3 linked regions of the Oryctolagus cuniculus genome follow. The protein of the gene in region 2 purifies or fractionates together with the protein of the main gene of each other region. This does not show direct contact. Links are inferred from orthologs where the notes say so. Each region holds a gene or a part of one and is shown on either strand. Other genes may lie near its edges.

The links.
Region 1: the proteins of CDK16 (region 2) and CCNY purify together in Homo sapiens (affinity purification with mass spectrometry; 3 studies listed by BioGRID and IntAct, counting the BioPlex papers as one, with this or other methods). This does not show direct contact. The link is inferred for Oryctolagus cuniculus from reciprocal best matches to the Homo sapiens genes CDK16 and CCNY.
Region 3: the proteins of CDK16 (region 2) and CCNYL1 purify together in Homo sapiens (affinity purification with mass spectrometry; 4 studies listed by BioGRID and IntAct, counting the BioPlex papers as one, with this or other methods). This does not show direct contact. The link is inferred for Oryctolagus cuniculus from reciprocal best matches to the Homo sapiens genes CDK16 and CCNYL1.

The regions. Positions count from the first base shown.
Region 1 is NC_091444.1:107,291,452-107,295,829, forward strand, and holds the start of CCNY (cyclin-Y), read right to left. Parts: upstream 2,825-4,378; 5' UTR 2,278-2,824; coding exon 2,124-2,277; intron 1-2,123. UniProt on the Homo sapiens protein: Positive regulatory subunit of the cyclin-dependent kinases CDK14/PFTK1 and CDK16.
Region 2 is NC_091453.1:32,755,180-32,759,267, forward strand, and holds the start of CDK16 (cyclin-dependent kinase 16), read left to right. Parts: upstream 1-1,221; 5' UTR 1,222-1,817; coding exon 1,818-2,126; intron 2,127-2,355; coding exon 2,356-2,563; intron 2,564-3,180; coding exon 3,181-3,314; intron 3,315-3,413; coding exon 3,414-3,539; intron 3,540-3,626; coding exon 3,627-3,683; intron 3,684-3,782; coding exon 3,783-3,897; intron 3,898-4,088. UniProt on the Homo sapiens protein: Protein kinase that plays a role in vesicle-mediated transport processes and exocytosis. Regulates GH1 release by brain neurons. Phosphorylates NSF, and thereby regulates NSF oligomerization. Required for normal spermatogenesis.
Region 3 is NC_091434.1:32,089,854-32,094,206, forward strand, and holds the start of CCNYL1 (cyclin-Y-like protein 1), read right to left. Parts: upstream 2,872-4,353; coding exon 2,646-2,871; coding exon of another isoform or gene 2,540-2,645; intron 662-2,539; coding exon of another isoform or gene 566-661; intron 1-565. Other genes in the region: microtubule cross-linking factor 1-like, read left to right, coding at 566-661, 2,540-3,729. UniProt on the Homo sapiens protein: Key regulator of Wnt signaling implicated in various biological processes including male fertility, embryonic neurogenesis and cortex development. Activates the cyclin-dependent kinase CDK16, and promotes sperm maturation.

The sequences.
Region 1 (4,378 bases), on a different chromosome or scaffold from region 2:
TGTGGCGTAGCAGGTAAAGCCGCCGCCTGCAGGGCCGGCATCTCACGTGGGCGCTGGCTTGAGGCCCGGCTGCTCCACTTCCCATCCAGCTCTCTGCTGTGGCCTGGGAAGGCAGTGGAGGATGGCCCAGGTGCTTGGGCCCCTGCACCCGCATGGGAGACCAGGAGAAGCACCTGGCTCCGGGCTTTGGATCGGCCTTTGCAGCCATTTGGGGAGTGAATGAGTGGACGGATGACCTCTCTCTCTGCCTCTGCCTCTCTGTAACTCCGCCTTTCAAATTAATAAATAAATCGTCAAAAAAATAAAAAGAATTGTTGAGACGTAGTTTTAAGAATCTGATAACCTAACTCAGGAGTCCAGATACATATAAATATAGATAGTTATACATAGATACATATATATATATATATGGATATGCACGCCATTTAAATAAATCTGTCTCCTTCTCCCAGCCTCCAACACTAATTTTTACCAAAACTGTCTCCGAACAGCAGGTGGTAACGCTTCCAAGTTCCACCCAGCCAGCAATTACCAAGCGGAGCTACATCTTATTATTCCCTGGGGAGCTCTAAATAAACTATTAATGCCAACATCCAGCCCTAGACTTCTGGTCCAACCGAAAGCAACACTGAGAAGCGCTGGTTAGGTAAGTCCCGGAACCATTACTTACCGAGCTTGGGAGACAGAACATTGTTTAAATGCCTCATCGTAGGAGCCAGGATGTGGAGTGAGGGGACCCCAGCCCAGATTAGAACCTGCACTTCCCAACCTTCTCTCAAAAATGCTTGACCAAGGGCAGGCACTGAGGCGTGGCAAGTTAACCGTGGCTCGAGACCCCGCAGCCCAGATCAAAGTGCGTGGTTCCACCTCCACTTCCCACCCAGCTCCCTGCTCCAGCACGGAAGGCAGCACCTGAAGTCTTTAGTACCTGGGTCGCTGCCACCCACGCAGGAGACCTGCGGTTCCTGGCTGCTGGCTTCCGCCGGACCCAGCCCTGGCTGTCGGCTGCACCTAGGCAGGGAACCAGCAGATAGAATATCTCTCTCTCTTGCTCTCGCTCGCTCGCTCTCTGTTGCTCTGCCTTTCAAAGAAACACTTTAGAGAAGTGTTTGATGGGGGCTGGCTCTGTGGTATCCTGGGCTAAGCTGCCACCTGCAGTGCCGGCATCCCATATGGCCGCGGGTTCTAGTCCCAGCTGCTCCACTTCCGATCCGGCTCCCTGCTAATGCACCTGGGAAAGCAGTGGAAGACAGCCTAAGTGCTTGGGCCCCTGCGCCCGCGTGGGAGACCCAGAAGTAGCTCCTGGCTCCGGCCTGGCCCAGGACAGGCTGTTGCGGCCATCTGGGGAGTGGACCAGCTTATGGAAACTCTCTTTCTCTAACTCTGCTGTTGATGATGATCCATGATTTGCAACAAAGCGTCCACCTATTCCCAAACGCTACTGCCCGACACAGTTCACGGCTGGGCAAGGGCCTTCTGCAATCATTCACTCATTCATTCGTTCCTCAGGCAAAACACTGCACCTCTATTCTAAGCATTTCTTTCAGGCGCTTGGGCTATCAGATCTGGCCGCGACACCCTTCCAGGTGTCGAAGCAGGACTGCAGCTCACGCACAGCCAGGGGTGGGTTAGTGTCCCAGGAGCACTGGGACCGCCATCCACCAAGCGCCCACTGCGGACCGGCTCCTGCGTGGACATCGTCCAGCAAGCCTGCCGCCCCACGCACGCCAAGACCCGCAAGGGACGCGTCACGCACTCCCCCGGCTGCGGGGAGCCGGCAGCAGCCCGCACTTCCTATCCCGCGTCTCTCAGAGGCGGCCCGGCGTCCGCCGCTCGGGGAACCCGCAGGGGCCACCCGCGCCCACCCACCCACGCACAGCGACCCCCGACGCCGCCCCGCGGCCCTCCCCTGCCTTCTTACTGATTCAGTTATTTATTTTTAATTTCAAAGGCTTTTCCTAGCCTCGACCCGGAATCGGGGGAGGGGAGCGAGGGGCGCCCCGGAGTCCTCGCGCGCAGTGCCCGGGGCCCCGCGCGCTCCGGAGGCGCCGCCGCCGGCCGCAGCTCCGCGGGGGCCCCGCGCGCGCCCCACGCGTGCCCGAGGCCCCCCGGGGGGCGCTCACCGTCCACGTTCTCGCGGTCGCTGATGTGCTGCAGGTTGCAGCCCGTGTCCTCGCGGCTCAGGTCGGCGTCGGGCCGGTACGACTCCAGCCGCGAGTGCGCGTTCCGGCGGAGCTTGGGGCTGGACGACACGCAGCACGAGGTAGTGTTCCCCATCTTCGGCGGCCCCCGCCGGCGCGCCTCTCGCTTCCTCGCGGGGGCGCGGCGGGGCGCGAGGCGCGGCCGCCCGGTCAGCAGCAGCAGCAGCAGCAGCGGCGGCGGCAGCAGCGGCGGCGGCGGCGGCGCGGCCTCGCCATGGGCGGGCGCGGCGGCCCCGGCTCCCCTCGGCCTCCGCGCGCGCGCCCAGCCCGGCCCGGTCCGGCCCGGCCCGGCCCGGCCGCGGGGCCTGCGGGCGGCGGAGAGCGCCCGGGTCCGCGCGACTGCGGCCGCCGCGCCCTGCTCAGCCCGCCGCGGCCATGGCGGGCGGCGCCGCGCAGGCCGCGTCCCCCCGCGCTCCCCGGCCGGCGCCCGGCTCCCGGCTCCCGGCGGCCTCGGCAAGCGGTTCCGGTTCACGCCGGGGACCCGCGCGCCAGGCCGGGCGGCGTGGGCGCGGGCGGCGTGGGCGCGGGCGGCGCGGGCGGCGTGGGCGCGGGGCGCAGCGCAGCGCGGCGCGGCGCGGCGGCGAGGATGCTCGGTGCTCCCCGCCCCGCGCGCTCCCCGCCCCGGCCCGCCCCGGCGCCCGCCCCTTCCCGGTGCCCTGGAAGCAGATCCGGCCGCGAGGGGCGGTCCCGGCGGCGCGGGGCGGAGAGGGCCCCCGGGCCGGGGCCTGCTCGCCTGCGCCCTGCGCCCTGCCAGTGCCCACCCTGGGAGGCGGCCGGCGAGGGCCCACGTGGGCGCCCGGGATGGAGTCCCTGGCCGCCGGCTTCTGAGCTCTGAAATGAACCCTGGGGGCCTGTTTTCACCAGGAAGTACCGGTTTTGCGTTCACAGGGCGGGTAACCGGGAGGTGGGGACGTCAGCCACTGGGGACCCGAGTGACCACGACTCGCACACTGCCCCTTGGCTTCGCCCTGCAGCGTTAGGGGCCTGGGAGCGGCAGGCCCTCCGGATACAGGGCCCTCTGGGAAGGGGATTTTGAAGACGAGAAAACTTGCACAATCCTCGTAATTTTATGTCCGAGGACAGTGGAGGCCCAGGGCGACAAAATGCCCAAACTGTCCTTAATGACAGATCCAGGCAGTGACGCCGACCCCGCATCGGTCATGTGTGGACGTCGTGCCAGAGGTTTGGTAGCGTGTAATTCTCTCCGTCTGGTCGGGGCTGGGGGTGGGTGCAACATCTGTATTGCATTTCTAAGGCAAAGAGAGAGCTGCAGTCCTCTGGGTCACTCCCCAGATGCCGTCAACAGCTGGGGCAAGACCAGGCCTAAGACGAGAGCCAGGAACTCCACGTGGGTCTCTGCATGGGTGGCGTGGACCCCGGTACTTGAGCCGTCATCACCGGCTGCCTCCCTTGGGTACACATTCCTGGGAGGTGGAGTGGAAGGCCAGGACTCAAGCCGGGCACTTGGTACAGGATGTGGTCACCGCAAGCAACGGCTTACCAGTGTGCCAAACGCCCTCTCCTGGGCTTGTCTCAGGCTGTGTCATATGTCCATCTACACTAATGGTTACACTAATGGTTATATGGTTAGGCTTGGTGCTTTTTATTTTTTTATTTTTATTTTTATTTATTTATTTTTATTTTTTTTTTTTGACAGGCAGAGTTAGACAGTGAGAGAGAGAGAGACAGAAAGGTCTTCCTTTTCCGTTGGTTCATCCCCCAACAGCCACTGCGGCCAGTGTGCTGTGGCAGATCTGCACCGATCTGAAGGCAGGAGCCAGGCACTTCCTCCTGGTCTCCCATGGGGTGCAGGGCCCAAGCACCTGGGCCATCCTCCACTGCACTCCCAGACCACAGCAGAGAGCTGGCCTGGAAGAGGAGCAACCGGGACAGAATCCGGCGCCCCAACCGGGACTAGAACCCCAGGGTGCCGGCGCCGCAGGTGGAGGATTAGCCCAGTGAGCTGCGGCGCTGGCCGGGGTTAGTACTTTATAAAAAGCTCCGTGCCCTGAACTGGGTTGGAAGAAGTTGTCCTTGGAAGATAGATGGCTGCCAGGCGATGATCTGAGCCGGTGAAGGAACTGCAGCCCTTGGACGGCACCGAGGCAAAATGGTGCTGTGCTGGCCACCCACCCAGGCAAGGCTGGCTGGCAGCTGCCTGCAAGGCACTGAACATG
Region 2 (4,088 bases):
TGGCGAGGTCAGGACTCAGGAGGTGTGGTGAAGTGTGAGGAGTGTATCCTCATCAGTGGTCTGTGTGCTAAGTGGGGGCCAGGATCTGTGGGTGTGAGAGTAGTCTGAGGATGGGTGTGTGTCCTTGAGGGTCAGGAATGATCAAGAAAGACCTGTGATTTTTTGGGGGTAGAATTGTGTGTCCAGTTCTTCCTCCCTCCTTATTCTTAACTATGAAAAACTCAGACAGCTGAAATGATACTATTTTGGAAGTTTTGTTGCATATAATTGTTCAAGTATCTGTTCACAGGAACCTGCCCAGGGTGCACACCCCTTATTGGGAGTGCTGCTTGGTACATATCTTGTTCCCCATCTTCCTAAAACCTCTCACCACAACTGAACTCTTCAACATGTTCAGCCCTTGGCATTTCCACTCAGAGGCCGTAGTTCATTCTGGCTCCCTCCCATCATCCTTTAAGTCCTGCTAACAGTCTCCCCAGCCCTTGCCCCATTGCCTATCACAACATGCGAAGCAACTGGATATCTGTGCCATATGGGGACACAAGATAGTCTTTGGGAGCTGGGCACACTTTGCCTTCTTCGGCCTTGGGTCCAGGATTGTTTTGTCGCTGTTATGCTGGGTTCTGTGTGGATGGACCTTGTCTTCTCTTAGGTCTTTCTGCTAGGCTAGTCCCTCTACCCCTCCATGGGGGTGGTGAGTTCAAGCAGGCAGGAGTAGGGGTGGGAACTGCTTGGCTAAGCACCAGGTTTCAGGGTAACAGATTTCTCTCCTCAAATCTAGCCCCAGCCTCATCCTCGACCTCCTATCTAGCTCTACTTCCCTTGGGCCAGGGCCATCTTGGGCCCTGCTGTGAGTCCAGATGGTTCCTGGGCCAGGTCTTTCCCCCTCCTTGCTGGCCCAGCACCGAGGAGGAAGTAGAAGAAGGCCAGCCTAAGCCTTTTGGTGGCCCCATTCCCTCCAGCAGCCCATCTAGGTCATCTTCCTGTCGATGCCAGCATCTTTGGAGCACCCTTGTTGGGGGTTGTTCCTAAATAGCAGGGACCCCCTGCCTCAGCAGAGATGGTTCCTAGGCTCTCAGCTCCCTGATGCAGTCATTTCTGCCATAAGCGCTTTTGGGCATCTGCTGTGTCAGTCACTATTCTAGGTCCTCAGGATATAACTGTGACCTAAACAGAAAGACATTTATCCTGGCAGAGCTGATCTTCTAGTTGTGGCAGTGAGGAGACAGTAAAGAATAAAAGAAACCAATAAGTAGATGTGTTATCTCCAAGGAGGTGATGAGTTCTGAGGGGGATAGTTGGCAAGATGAGGGAGCTCAGGATGGTTGAGATTTTAGATATTCACGGAAGCTTCACGTGAAAAGTTGAGATTAGATCAATGACCTGAAGGGAGTGGGGAGTGAGCTGTTTCAAAATCTGGGGGAAGGTATTCCAGGTACCAGGAACAGCCAGTGCAAAGGCCCTGAAGTGGGACTCTGCTGGGTGTGGTACAGAACAACAACTAGGAATGATCCTCGAGGTAACAGGGCAACTGAGGTATAAGACCTTGTAGGCCACATTGAGGACTGGGCTCTTTATTTGGGGTGATAAGGGGGCTGTGGTTCATTTTCAAGTAGAGGAGAAATGTGACCTGGCTTTTAAAAATCTGGATTGGGCCTGTAGGTGCCTACCAGATCAAACATTTCCAGCAGTCCTGAGGATAGCTGGTCTATATTGAAATGGGGGGGGGGGTCTCTCAACCCAGTGGTAGGGTCTGAGTAGGATCCTCCCTGCATCCCCTACATGAGCAGACTTAATGGTTTGGTTCACTTGTCACCATGACGATGGTCACTGAGGGAAGCACGGAGTTCCTTATGGCTAGAGAGAGCATTCTACCTTGGCAGTTGGGGGTGATGTGGGGCTGGTGCCAGCGGAACATAATGTTTTATGGGCGTGCCCAGGGCCATGGTTCCTTGGTTCTGGGAGAGCCTCCTGTACCACCCAAACCTGGGTCCATTACTGCCGCTGCACCTGACAATACCTGCTGTGGAGCCTTCTGCTCCCACAGTGAGGCTGCCACCCTAGAGACCATCAGTCTACCTAGTGGGCCCTTGCCCTCAGCCAGCCACCCAAGTCTGAGTACCCAGGTAAGCCCCTCAGGAGCAGGGCCCAGGGGCTGGTTCTGGGTGGGCGGGCACTGACAAGGGTCCCCATCCATACGGCTTTCTCAGGACTCCTGAACAGGGCCAGGGGCCCACAGTGGGTGGGCAGCCACTGACACAAGTTCACGTTGGTGTTCCCTACTAGGTTGTGGGTTTTAGGGGCCTCCTAGTGGACCAGCAGATGCTAATAGAGGAGCCCTGTGCCCTTACTCAGGTCGCCATGGATCGGATGAAGAAGATCAAACGGCAGCTGTCAATGACACTCCGAGGGGGCCGAGGCATAGACAAGACCAATGGTGCCCCAGAACAGATAGGCCTAGACGAGAGCGGCGGTGGCGGTGGCAGTGACCTTGGAGAGGCCCCCACACGTACCGCCCCAGGAGAACCTCGCTCTGGACGGGGCCCACTCAGCTCTGCACCAGGTGGGTCCACAAACTACTCCTTGGTCTCATGTCTCTAGGCTGGTTCCCAGGTGCTGCCTCCCGATCCAGTTCCTCTTAGACTTGTGCTCCCATTTTCTTCCCCTTTCCTGTTCCATGTGTGCTGTTTTTTCCCCTTCCCTGCCATCCTCTCTCAGCATTCTCTGTCCAACTGTGCCCCTGTCCTTGGCTTTGTGCCAGGCCCCAGGGGAGGAGACGTACCTTGCATGTTGCACCTGCCCCAAGGTTTCCTCTGCCCTTCTCCTGCACCCTGCGGTGGCCCCCTCAGGCCTCCTGGCACCTACCTATCCAGTGCACTTGCCTCCCAGAGCGCTTGGCTACCTCTGCCACCACCTGCCTATTGGCCCCAGTTCAGGCTAGCTGCATTTTCAACTCACCCTGGAATGGGTACTCCACTAGGTGACTGTTGTCCGTCTCCCTCTCTGTCCTGGACCTGCCTAAGCTCCCCTAGGCCCCACCACCTTCTCCTTGAGGAACTGTGGGCTGCTCCAGGGGCCATGCATGCACATGTATGAGGAGGGAATGTATTGCATGGGAGAGGGAGTGTCTTGGGGTTCCTGACCCCATCTGGCATACCCTCCCCCTCTCCCTGCCACCAGAGATTGTACACGAGGACTTGAAGATGGGGTCTGATGGGGAGAGTGACCAGGCTTCAGCCACGTCCTCGGATGAGGTGCAGTCTCCAGTGCGAGTGCGCATGCGCAACCACCCCCCGCGCAAGATCTCCACTGAGGTGCTTAACTCACTGTTCGGGTGATGGGAACTGGAAAAGGGGGCTGGAGGTAGGGAGGTAGAGCTCATGGTCCCTTTTCGCCCCTGTCTTGCTTGGTAGGATATCAACAAGCGCCTATCACTACCAGCCGACATCCGGCTGCCTGAGGGCTACCTTGAGAAGCTGACCCTCAATAGCCCCATCTTTGACAAGCCCCTCAGCCGCCGCCTCCGCCGTGTCAGTCTGGTGAGCACTTTCTGTTCCTGTCCTCTCTCCTTCCTCTCCCTGTCCCCTCCCCTGAGCCTGCTTCGACCTGCCTACTTTATCCCACAGTCTGAGATTGGCTTTGGGAAATTGGAGACCTATATCAAGCTGGACAAGCTGGGTGAGGTGAGAGACAGCCAGGAGACCCACGGTGGGGATGAGGGTCAGCAGGAGCTCCCTGCAGCCTCATTACGCCTCTCCTGTCACACTTGCTCACACCCCCAGGGTACCTATGCCACCGTCTACAAAGGCAAAAGCAAGCTCACGGACAACCTTGTGGCACTCAAGGAGATCAGGCTGGAACATGAAGAGGGAGCACCCTGCACCGCCATCCGGGAAGGTACAGATCCCTGGCCCACCTTTCCCAGGCTTTCCTCACGACACATGTACATCCTCACTCCATGGTGTGAGCAGAGACAGAGGGTTCTGGAACTCCCCCTTCCAACACACTAGCATCTATGAGAATGCCCATCAACCCTATATCTGGGTAATAATCAGAGTCACCAGAAATCGGTTCCTGCTTGGAGGAAA
Region 3 (4,353 bases), on a different chromosome or scaffold from region 2:
CCCGGCTGTTCCACTTCCAATCCAGCTCTCTGTTGTGGCCTGGGAAAGCAGAAGAAGATGGCCCAAGTCCTTGGGCCCCTGCACCTGCGTGGGAGACCTGGAAGAGGCTCCTGGCTCCTGGCTTCGGATCAGCGCAGCTCCAGCCATTGCGACCAACTGGGGAGTGAGCCATCAGATGGAAGACCTCTCTCTCTCTTGCTCTCTGCCTCTCCTCTCTCTGTGTAACTCTTTCAAATAAATAAATAAATCTTTTTTTAAAAAAAATAACTACTGAAAAGAGGAAAGCTCTATTGTTCCGAGGTTTTTCTACACCACATTGCCAATCCCTTGTGTACCCTCACCCTTCAGAGGGAGGACGAGCAAGGGGTCACATGAGAGCAACTTTAGCCAGCAGATTAGCAAAGCTCCGAAAGCCAGAATTCAAAACGCTGTAGGAAAAAGTTGTTGAGTAATAATAAAATTGGGTAAAAATTTAACTGTCATGGTAACAAACATAAAATGGTAAGTTCTGTGCTCACAACACAGTCCTGTGCCTAATGCCTGGGACCTTACTCGTTCTCCTCAGGGCTCCTGTTCAGGTTCCTCCCTCCAGGGGCCTCTGAGCTGCAGCTCCGGACTGTCAGAACAAGCTCTAAAATCCGTCACCACAGTTATCTGCTGGGTAGGTTGCAGTCATCTGTCATCCATGCTTTTATACATCACAGGGAATGGGTATATAGATATAGGATGGCAAGATAAAATGTTGCCTCTGAGTTGTATAAAACAAACCAAAAAAAATTTCTTAATAGAGCAGGAATGTTCTAAGAGATAGACCTACTTTGCAGGTGACATATGACATGCATCCTGAAAAGTTCTTAAAGTTTCTGAAGAACTGAATTTGGCCTATCTACCACAGCCATGTCAGTCTGCATCAGCAGGGAAATCCTTAGTTCTTCCATCCAGGAGCTGCTTAGTCATTTCAGATCTTCATTCATTTGTTAGCAACACTGGGAGATCACGCACAGGCCTTATTTGTATTTGGAAGGGTTAAATGAGATGCACATGAAAATACACCGTAAATCTCAAAAGAAGTCTATAAAGATCTTATTTTGGGCTGTAATCCATCACTACCCATCTACTACCTGGTTTGTAAAATCACTTGGGGGCTTACCTTGCACCACCCAGTAGAGTGCTGTTTTCACAAGTACTTACATGCACTGTGTTTAAAGGTACAATTAATTCACATGATACCTTTGTTCATTCCTTCACAATTTTTGAGTCTGCTGAAAACTGAGTACTTCCCAGTTACACAGGAATATCCATCATGAGCCTTAATCTTTCTCATTTTTAAATAACTTAAGAGCCCAACGAAAGTTAAATTACAAGACCTTTAAGATCTTTCCTCCTGGAAATGAAATCATCCCTGACATTTAAATGAAACAAACGGGCCAACCTGGGCTTAAATACGTTACAATGTTTTCTACTTCAAAGCACTCAGTCATTCAGGACCACCGTGTTGGCCAGAATTATTTTTACCTAGATTCAAAGCTTTCCAAAAGAGCCCAAGTTTTTACATACACACACGTGGTTCCTCCTCTCTTCTCCCTCCCCCGCCCAGCCCCCTCAGCATTCTCAGTAAAGAACTCGGCTCGGAGTCTAGGAAGTGGGGGGAAGGGAGGGGAGGGAGCCAGGGAACCAAACACTACCGCGGCCGGGGGCTGGCATTTTAGTTCCCAGACCTTAACAAGTCAAGAGTTCTCGATGGGCATTTGTCTCGTGTGAAACTTTGGAGCAGCACTGAGGAACCACTCCCACACCTCCCCACCCTCTCCTCCAGAACAGACGAGGTACGTGAAGTCGGTTAAGTCATCGGAGGAGGGCTGCACACAGATTTCCGTCAAAACGGGAATTTTTAAGCAATCTGAACTCCATGCCTAAACTGCTCGGATTTAAAACACACACACACACACACACACACACACACACACACACACACACACTTTCCCGCAGTCCTGGCAGTAGCGCTTCACACCTTTCACAGTTATTTTAAGCCCTTCATAATATTTTCCTGTTCAAATGATAGTTGGAAGGAACTCGGCAGCTTCGACGGGGCGGGGGATGGGGGCAGCAAACAGTCCACTTAACACCAGGCAGACACCGGAAGCAACATCTAGCCTGAATTTAAATGTGTGAACTGTGCGGGGTATCCACTACTCCAACGGGTGCGTGGCAGGAACCTCGGTCCTTACCTGGCTCCTTCCCTTAGGCACCATCAGGATGGGCGAGGGCGGAGATGGGATGCACACCCCGAAATCCGGGTGTTTCAATTTTCATTTGCGAAAAGGCAGAGAATGTACCCAAAAAGTCTTGATAAGGTCCCATGGGAAGATGAACAACGCTGCAAACAGGAAGGGCCGCGCACAGGAGGGTCCCAGGCCGGGTTGGGGACAGAGCACTGAACGTTCGCGTGGGGCCAAGGGAAGCAAACGGCACAGATCGTCAGAGAAAGAATAAGGGGTGGGGACGCGGAGCTGAGCCAGCCTTCAGCCCCGGTGCCCAGCCCAGGGAAAGCCGGCTCCCGGCAGGAAGGACCCGAGGCGGCGGCCGCCTCCCGAGGGACCCGGGGGGCGGCGGAGGCCAGAGTGCGCCCGCCTCCTCCTCCTCACCTTCGGGCATCTCCCGGTCGCTGATGTGCTGCAGGTGGTGGCCCTCGCCGGCTCCGAAATCCAACTCGGTGGGCTCCACGGCAGCGGGTGCCGGCGCCACAGCCACCGCGTCGCCGGCCGCCGCCTCGTAGATCTCGGACTCGTAGTCCGGCTCCGCCGGCCCCGCGCGCCGGCCCAACTTGGGGCTGGCATTGGGGGACACGCAACAGGTCAGCGTGTTCCCCATGGGGCGCCTCCGCTCCTCTCCGCCACCGTCTGCGCCTTCGCTCGCCCCCGACTCCGCGGCGCTCGGCAGCCGCCCCCTCCCCCAACAATGGCGCGGTCGGCACCGGCAGCCCCGGGCTATGCCGGGGCTGCGGCGCGCATAGAGACACGGCCTCGCCCGCCGCTCGCCCGCCCGCCCTGCCGCCCGGCCCCGGGCAGGGCTCCGGCCTCGGCCGCACCCCCGCCGCCGCGCCACCGCCGCCTCCCTCGAGCCGACTTGTCTGCGAGGGCGGCGACCAGCCCGGCTTATTTAAAAGGGGTGGGGACCCGCCAGGCGCTGAGAGACGCAGCCACTGCCGGCAGAGAGCGCGGTCGGAGCCCCTCCTTCTTCCGCCGCCGCCTCTCGACCGAAAGCCACTCACTCTGGCTGGCGCCTACCAACCGGAACGCGTCCTGTGGTCACCTGGTTACGAGGAACCAATCATGCCCAGAGTTCCCTACACGCGCCCGCGGGGAGTCCAGGCACGTGACGCACAATGCCCCGCCCCCGCGCGGTGCCCCGCCCCTCGAGAGGTGCGTCCGGGACTCCGGGTTCCATTCATCGCCCGGTGCCCAGAGTTTTCCGGTCCTGCGGGAAGCGCCGGGGGCGTTCGTTGGTCGAGGCAGCCCTCGGCAGGGGGGCTCTGCAGAAAGCCCCGGTGAGGAAAGCGCCTGCTCCGCCAGCAACTCGGTTTCTCCGAGTCCGACGGCTTTCCTTTGCTCACCAAACTTGGTGGCACCTGAATTGCCGACCGTTTCTGTGACCAAATGCTGCGCTCCGGTCTTCCCAAGTGCTGGCTTTCGCCCGCGGCTGACCATTCGGAGAGACCGGGGGCCCTGAAAGGGCTGTGGCCGCGCGTCCTGCGCGAGCCCTGAGGACACGTCACCTCTCCACTTCCTCGTCGGGGAAACGGCCCGCGCTGCTCCCTCCCCGCGCCGGGACGCGAGCCACACCAGCCCCGCGTTCTCGCCTGTTTCTCCCGCCCACAGCCGCCTTCCACTGACAACAACGAAGGTTTCCTCGAACAAAACCGAGAACCACAGTGGGGGACCACGGGCCTGATTCGCTGAAGGTGATGGTAACAAATCGTTAACGTTTGGCCACGATGCGCCCGATGCTCCTCCAACTGAGACATTCATTTAACCCTCAAAAACCGTCCCATTTTACAGAATGAAGTTGAGACCCACACGCGAAGTAACTTTCCCAGGATCACGTGACCGCTTAGGGTGGGGCCAGGCCATTCCTGATGGTGAACGTAAAGGTAGAAGTCGGACTTGGAAGGAAATGACGTTACATAGTAGGATCTTTCTTTAAAAAGGAAGGATTTTTTTTAAATGTTTGCTTATTTTCCTTTATTTGACAGAGAGAGAGAGAGAGATCTTGCATTTACTGGCTCACTCCCCAGGGCTCACTGGCCAGGGCTGGGCCAGACCAAGGCCAGGAGCCCAGAGCTCCATTCAGGTC